Drosophila melanogaster: one gene and its partner. The protein of the gene in region 1 purifies or fractionates together with the protein of each later gene. This does not show direct contact. Each region holds a gene or a part of one and is shown on either strand. Other genes may lie near its edges. The genes, in order: Gagr and CG6013.

Region 1 (4,747 bases):
AGACGCGATTTAAATTAGCACCCCAATGGAAACCCCCCCTTAATCGCGGAGCACCTCCCCCCCTTTCCATCCTAATCCAGCGCTTTCTTGGCGCTTTGTCCTCGTCGATGACTACACGCCGACAAGTTTTTGCTATTATTAAACAGTTTTACAAGCCGCTAACGCTCAGAAATTGTTGCTAATTAGCCGAACCGCGCACGCCGGCGCAGCAGACCTTAAAAGCGACCCCTCGAGGGGAAGAGAGGGGGGGTGATGGTGGTGGAGGGTTAGGAGTGGGCTGCCACTAATAAAGGTGTGCGCTGGTATGAGCAGCGGTGCACTGCGAGAAATGATCCACTACATTGCACTTCTATTCAAATCACTTTCTAATCTTGTACCGTTAACGTCAATAGCAGAAAGTTTACTTTAATAATTAATAATATTGTTTGAATTTTAAATAAAAATGAAAAAAAAACAATTTTTATTTGTGAAAGTTGAAGTTTTTGACCTTAAAATGGTTACATAGACGTAAAAATTATGTATTAGTACTAAAGTGAAGAAATCGCTAAGCACTATGTTATCAAAAATAAAACTTAGAATCTCATAACAATTATCATTCTTTATCATTCCAAATGTTGAAAATTAAACATAAAGCTAGAATATCAAGTGAAACCTATTAATTACACTCATTTTCTCTCAGTGCACGTGTCAAGATTGGAGGCAATCGAGCTGAATTAGATGCTGCTGGGGTCGATTGAGTGCAGATCAGGCGATGAGCAATCGAGTGCAGGGTGCAGCAAGCAGCGAGCAACAATTAGATTCTTCGAAAAAATCTAAAAAATTATGAAAGGACCTTGGAATGCAATTTTGCTGTGTGCCACAATTTGCATGTGAATAATGGCAAAAATCACATCTCTCGCTGTCAATCGGTGCGTATGCGTAATATTTGTGTGCGCCGCACAGTCTGTCAGTTTGAAATTATGTTGTCCTAGCGTAGACTTTCCCCATTTGCTTATTTATTTATTTATTTATTTATTTTTTGTTAGCCATTTGAACCCCGACAATTAACACGGCGAGCAGCGACGAGGCAAACAAAAAGCGAATCTAACGCTTCGTTTAAGCGATTTGTGTGCGCTCTTTAATGAAATTCGCTGCTGTGTTTGATGTTGTATTAGGGGTACGAGTAACGACTATGTGCGTGCTACGGCCTTTTTGTGGCCCGTGTCCGTTCGGCTGGCACTATCGCCATCTCTATCTGCCCGGCTATACATACATATATCTATCGCGATCGGTCGCAGGGTGTCGCCGTGCTGGGATTTTGTGGCTATGACTCAGCGTCGCAACAACAGTAAGCAAATAGCGTTTGGGGGAAGTTGGTGTCACGTCTATGAGATACCCATTGAATCTATTAAATTCACTATCTATTTTATGTCATCTATTAAAGTTACTATTTAGCAGTTCAACTAGGTCGCTTTAGGTCGCGATTTTTCTCTTTATAAATTTCTACATATAATCACATTAGTTTTGATTCACTTTAAATGTAAGCTTAAAGCGGAATTTAGCTGAAAAGAAAAATCGAGTTCTTCACTACCATACGATTATCAGGACTTCCGGCATTGTTCACCCAAATGTATGCTACAAAAAATATCGTTCCCTTTTGAAGGCAACAAGGAAACTCTATAAGAACTCCCATACTTCTAAGAAGAAAGTAATATTAAGGAGATATCTTGTATGTAAGACCCATAGAGTGAAGTAGGGAGTAGGGAAGCATGCGTATGTCCTACTTATTTTCCCAGAATCCTCGATTGATATCACTGTGACTACCCATTGTGCGAACCATACCACCTGGATGGTCTAGTATACCCGTTGCACTCCACACACAACGGGTACCACAACTCCCACCACAATGAATGGCGGGCGCTGTGTTCCGTTCTGTTTTATTCTGCCAGTTGATTTCGGTTCGGGTTCGGATCCGCTCATTCAGTTCAGTTGTGCTCAGCTCGGTTGGAGCGACCACGGTTCGTGTCGATTGCGAATCCGTTGCCATTGTCGGATTGGATCGCGGAGAGGGTCTTGCAAGTAAAATTCATGTTAATGAATGTTAATTTATACATTTGTAAGAATCTAAAATCTGTTTTTCCATACACAACAATTATTGACGCGGCAGTCGCTGCTTGGCGGCGATTTCGAATTTTGAAGCAGTCGCGCCCGAAACGTCGCCGCGAACGCAACGATCGGTTAACGGTAAAGATATAGAAGGCCACCCTCTTTGGAACTAGTAATAGTAGTCCTACGGGAGATTAGTCCAGAATGGATCCCGAGTTCGTGAACAAATACAATCAGGTCCTTAGCCGTCTGAAGCTAGTGGAGAACTTCGATGGCAGTGATCCTGGCAAGCTGCCGCAGTTCCTGCACAAAATCGAGGCCCTTATGCCGGCCATAAATAGTTTCGACGACTACTACAAGTTTCAATTGATAGGACATATCAAAAATAAGTGCACAGATCGCGCCAGGGAGGCGGTCTTCACGCGACAAATGAGCGCTCCCGTGGGCAATGGCAATGGCAATGGCGGCGGGAATGGTCATCTCCTGAAGGCCGAGTCCTGGCTAAAACTCAAGGATCAACTGCTGTACAACTATGCGGAGCGGGAGTCTAGCTACTCGCTGATACACAAGATACGCAGCGCTGTCTTGGACTCGAACATAGAGTTGTACTACCAGAAGATGGCCAAACTCAAGCACAGACTGATCAATAGAAAGCTCACGCACAATGACACCCTGTACAGTCTCGAGGACATAGAGCGCATCACGCTGCAGGTGTTCCGAGATCATCTGCCCGAGCCGACGCACTCGATGATCCTGCGCCGGAATCCCAAGAGCATGGAGGAGGCCTATCGCTACATAGTGGAGGTGCAGCAGCAGTTCTACACACAGAGCGGATCTCTGGCCAGTGACCATCAGGCGGCCACCTTCAGCACCAGCCACAAGCAGCAGTCCTACGGCGTGGGAATGGGCGGAGTGGGCGTGAGCACCGTTGGCGTGGGCGTCGGAATGGGCATGGGCGCTGTGGGGTTGGGACTCTCCTCCTACGTTCGTCAAATGTCCAACGACAAGGGACAGCAGAATAGCACGAAGAGCTACTACAATCAGTCGGCTCCGCCGGTGGGCGCCGGCAAGAATCATCCGATGTTCAAGAGCATTGGCAACCCCACCTTTAAGTCCAGCTTCAGCTACAATGGCACCAGCAGCAATTCGGGCATGGGATCGAATTACTCGAGTACCAAGAAGTCGGACATCAAGCAGAACTACCAGCAGCAGAAGAGTCAGAACTACTCGAAGACCTCGTCGGCTAGTGCTTGGAAGAAGTAGTAGTTGACATGGCTAGACGATCTCACCCTCCAATCGATCGGCGGTCCAGTGAGATAAGCGTATCGAGCATGACCTAATCCCTTGGAGCCTGTGACTAAGCCAGGGCAAAGTGATTGCCACCTCATGCTAATTACCCCGATACCTCACCCTCTAATGGCGATGAGGTGGCCGAAGATTATAGGATGTGAATATAGATTAAATTGTGATGAGAGAGCCATACTGGGTGCAACGAGATGGAGGTGATCTGATCCCTGTTTCGCGATAATCATAACCAATCCCTATCAGTACAACTAAGACGATAATGATGTGAATGTTCAAATAAAACAAATAATACAAATGTTAATGTTATAACTAACAATGCGGCAATTTAAATACCTCCATGGATTAAGCGTACTAGATTGCACATGCAAATAAAAAAAAAAAAACAAAACCATGTGAATGAATACAGATGAAGATAATGCAAATAGAAAGTAAGGGCATTGCAATAATAGAAAGTGTGTGCATAGCTATGTACTATCAAGTAAAAATTAAAATAACTAAAAGTATAGAATCACTAATTCGAGCTGATAGCAATGATCTTGTCGAAATACAAGATAATTAAGCCGATCGAGATAATTGAATGCATGATGTTCGATCTTCGGTAATGATGACATCGATCGCGTGTCCATCGATGATGATCAATCCGCAGACAGTATCGACATGTTAATTATTAGCTCATAAGACCCGAGTGTACATAGCCCCACACCTCAGTCCCCAGTCACATTACCCCCTATATATGTATCTACCGCCAATCGCCTATTTTTTAACAACAATCGCCCACCTTCAAATTCTGTTTTTTTTTTTGTTAACAATAAAGTGTAAAGTCTAACAGCCCTAGTGTATCTCTGTTTTGGTCGGTCAGAGGTATCGAATTTGGCATAGTTTGTTTACTCACAATTTGCTGGGCACTTGAAGTGTGGGCGGAACCCCTCGGATCATAGCCCATGTCCTGGGGCGCTGGCTCCGATTGCTGCTCCTGCAGCTTCACAGTCTTCGGTCTCGACCGCTCCTTGACATCCTTTTCGGGCTTACCAAAGAGTCCTCTCTGCTCCGCCCGGCGAATCAGGTACTTTTCATTCAAATGTGTCAGGGTTTTGCGGCGCACCAAGGCCAAGTAACTGCCCGTAACCTGCTGTTTGATGCAATTATCCTGATTTATGCATATATCCGGCACGGTATCCTGCACGAACTCATCGATATCGGGTGTTACAATCAGATCAATGCTTTCCACACGCGGCAGTGGAGTAGCTGTACAGCCCGGAGGTCCAGGTGCTGGAGGTTCCGGCTGCGCCGAGGGTTTATCCTTCTTCCTGGGCGAATCCTTGCTCATTGCAGCTGCCGGAATGTTGGCTGCCTCCGC
Region 2 (3,255 bases), on another chromosome or scaffold:
GGGCGTTCCGCGTCAGATGGCTCTTCAGTTTGCGGCTCAGACGCTTCTGGGAGCGGCCAAAACGGTGCTGCTCACTGGAAAACATCCGGCGGTGCTGCGGGATGAAGTCTGTTCTCCCGGTGGCGCCACCATAGTAGGCGTTCATGAACTGGAAAAGGGGAACCTCAGGTGGGTAGCCATAAAGTTGTACATTACACTGTTTTTTTATTGCTTTCTTTCGTGCTTTCAGGTCTACTTTAATAAACGCCGTGGAAAAGTCGTCACAGCGCTCTGCTGAACTGGGAAAGAAGTGAAAATGTAATCCCCCGGAACATCCCCTTGCTCTCTACACATACATATAGTTAAACGCTTGATATTGTTATTACAATAATGACTAACATAAAGCTCAAGTTTATTCCCGATCCTTCTTGCTGACGTACTCCACGCACTTGGAGGGATCGGTGGGAAAGTACTCTTGGCACTTGGTCATCAGTCGTTTGAGACCCTGGATGTACTTCCGTTGTGTTTCATCGTTCATTACGTGGGCTACGTTTTTGGAGAAAATCTTTTCGCGACCCGTACGAGCGTGGATACCCACCATAGTGACACCAATGGGCCAAGGCGCGTTTCCGATGGCCATTTCTAGGTAGGCATCGCTTGCTGTGATATAGTTGCGGTTGAGCAGGTGCTTGCAGATGTCTCGCAGACTGTCCAGAATGTCCTCTGGCAGGGTGTGATGCTTTAACTTGCGAAACAGCGGCTTAACGTATTCCTTAGTCTGCGTGTAAATGACGCGGGTCATTTTCACCTTTGTGGACATCTTTTCGTGCTTGCTGTAGTTGGCGATCTGGTCGTTCCACAGCTTGAGCAGGAAGGTGAGCAGCGTGATGATCACATCCATGTCGTAGTCCTTGTTGCGGCCCATATTTGCAGCCATTGTCTGTATGCTCTCCCACGACACGGACTCGTCGAGCTCAGCGAAGTCCGACTTCTTGTCTTCCTTGGTGGTGGGTGTGTTGGCGAACATCTCCTGCAGGTAGGCGGCGTCCACCTGCTCCATGGCCTCCTGGAAATCGTTGCGGAAACCGCGATTTGCCTCTGGCTGCGAAATCTCGCATTGTCGCAATCGGTCAAAGGCCTCGGGCTCCGTCTCGCCAAATATAAGGATGGGTTCGCCGCGTTCCCTTAGCCTCCGAATGACCTCCGTGCGCGGCAATATGTTCTGGCCATCGGCCACAAAACTGTACGCGCCTTCGGTCGTTTGTCCTTGTGCCTCGACGGACTCCTGCTTTATGTAGCCCACCTTCTGCAGCACTTCCTCTGTGTTCTTGGCGTTCAGGTCACCGCGTCTGAAGTACTTCTTCTTTTCGTCCACCAGCTGCCTTTGCTCCAGCAGCTTGCGCTTTCGCGCTATTTCAGCTTTCAGAATATCCATGTGATTGTTATTTGTAGTTAATAACAATGTGGAGTAACCAAAACAAATGCCTTAGATTATAGTGAGACCAGACTGAGAATGTTTACATACAAGTGCGGCCACTAAAATAGGTATTCTATTGAATTTACTAAGTTTTAGTTATGAAATAACTTATAATTAGTTCTATAACTTTAATCAATAATTAGATAAATATGTACTTCCTAATTTATTTAATTTAAATGCATTTATTAGACATTTAAATTGTATTTGAGCTATATATTTTTCTAGTATTTTTTCTTTGGTTACTCTTTGGTATTTCCGCAGCCTGGTCACACTGGCTCAAAATCAATAAAAAATAGACAACATTTTAGGATCGGAATTCATTCATAAAGGACACAATGCCAAAGAAAATGGGAATCAACTCGAAGGCGGTGGAGGCCCGCGAGCGCAAGGAGGCCACCAAGAAGGCCACGCAGGAGAAGAAGAGCAAGGAGGCGGAGGATCGCCTGTGGCGCGATGACGACAAGAATCTGGCCAAGAAACAACAGCGCAAGGACGAGGAGGAGCGCAAGCGGGCGGAGGCGGCCAAACGGAAGGCTGAGGCCAAAGCGCTGCTTGACCAGGAAATGTCATCCATTAACACGCAGCGAAAGCAGCCGCTGGCCAAGATCAACCGCCAGATGATTCTCGAGGAGATGGAGAAGAAGCAGCGCGTAATCGAGGCGATAAACGAGGCCAACAAGCCGATGGCCGCGCGAGTGGTGGTCCAAAACCATATCGAGGAGAATCTGAACCGATCCATGGCCGACACGGATGTGGCATCCAACATTGACGAGGCCATCGTGGTGCTCAGGTGCGTTCCCTTACTGAAACTTTCTTATCAATTTAAATTATCTTCCATTGCATGCAATTTTAGTGTAAATGACAGCGAAGAGGACAAGCATCCCGAGAAGCGAATGCGCGCCGCCTACAAGACCTTTGAAGCCAACAATCTGCCCCGCATTAAGGCTGAGAATCCTTCCCTTCGCATGTCCCAGTGGAAGCAGCTTCTGATGAAGGAATGGAACAAGTCACCAGACAACCCATTCAACCAGGCGCGCTAAGTGATCCAAGGACCAAGACTGTTTGCTGCCTAGCAGCAAAGAAATAATCAAAACGTTCTGTAGCACCTTTGAACTGTACGCAGAATGTAGTATATAAAAAAAAAAGTGGACGGAATAAATTTATTTATTTATTTAAGCCCAGTGAGTTGAATTTGTGTTAATTGCAAAAGTGGTTAGCTATTATCCTTCATAAAGCATCCCATGCAAAAGGATACGAAAGACAAAAAACAATAATAAGATTAACATATTCATATTAGAATAAAATCTTGCTATATAGGTACTTATTATAAGAACTGGATACAAATTCAACACATATTTTTCTATATTGTACACAATTTGGTTGTAATAATTTCGCTCTTACAAAAGAAATATTTAATTATGCAAGAGTCAATAAAATTATAGAAAATCGGGCGAATAAACATAGGATTGGATAACTCAGATCCGAAAGTGATAACGGACAGCTTTTCTCCGCTTATTGAATGCCGAATTTTTATTTGCCACCGGCTGAAAAACTTTGTGGCCCTGAATCCGATTCCGGTTGCGTTTCTGAATGAAGTAATTATATGTATTGCTTTGATTGCTGTTGTCGTTCCAGCGTTTTGTCCATCACTTTTTTTTTAGTGGTGCAAAATACGGAGAATAATAAGTGCTTCCGCTTTCACTACTTGCTGCTTGGAAGTTTGGTGGCGTTTTTTGGACCAGAGCCACCCAAATATTTTGCTGGTCCGTCGAACAAATGCACGTAACATCGGCCAGTTA

The links.
Region 2: the proteins of Gagr (region 1) and CG6013 purify together in Drosophila melanogaster (affinity purification with mass spectrometry, with the first as the bait; one large-scale study listed by BioGRID). This does not show direct contact.

What each region holds. Positions count from the first base shown.
Region 1 is NT_037436.4:16,392,661-16,397,407, forward strand, and holds Gagr (Gag-related), read left to right. Parts: upstream 1-1,925; 5' UTR 1,926-2,289; coding exon 2,290-3,348; 3' UTR 3,349-4,220; downstream 4,221-4,747. Other genes in the region: CG44836 (uncharacterized protein), read right to left, coding at 4,283-4,747.
Region 2 is NT_033777.3:19,029,780-19,033,034, forward strand, and holds CG6013 (uncharacterized protein), read left to right. Parts: upstream 1-1,723; 5' UTR 1,724-1,791; coding exon 1,792-2,246; intron 2,247-2,309; coding exon 2,310-2,496; 3' UTR 2,497-2,630; downstream 2,631-3,255. Other genes in the region: P5cr (pyrroline 5-carboyxlate reductase), read left to right, coding at 1-168, 230-293; Prp18, read right to left, coding at 392-1,414.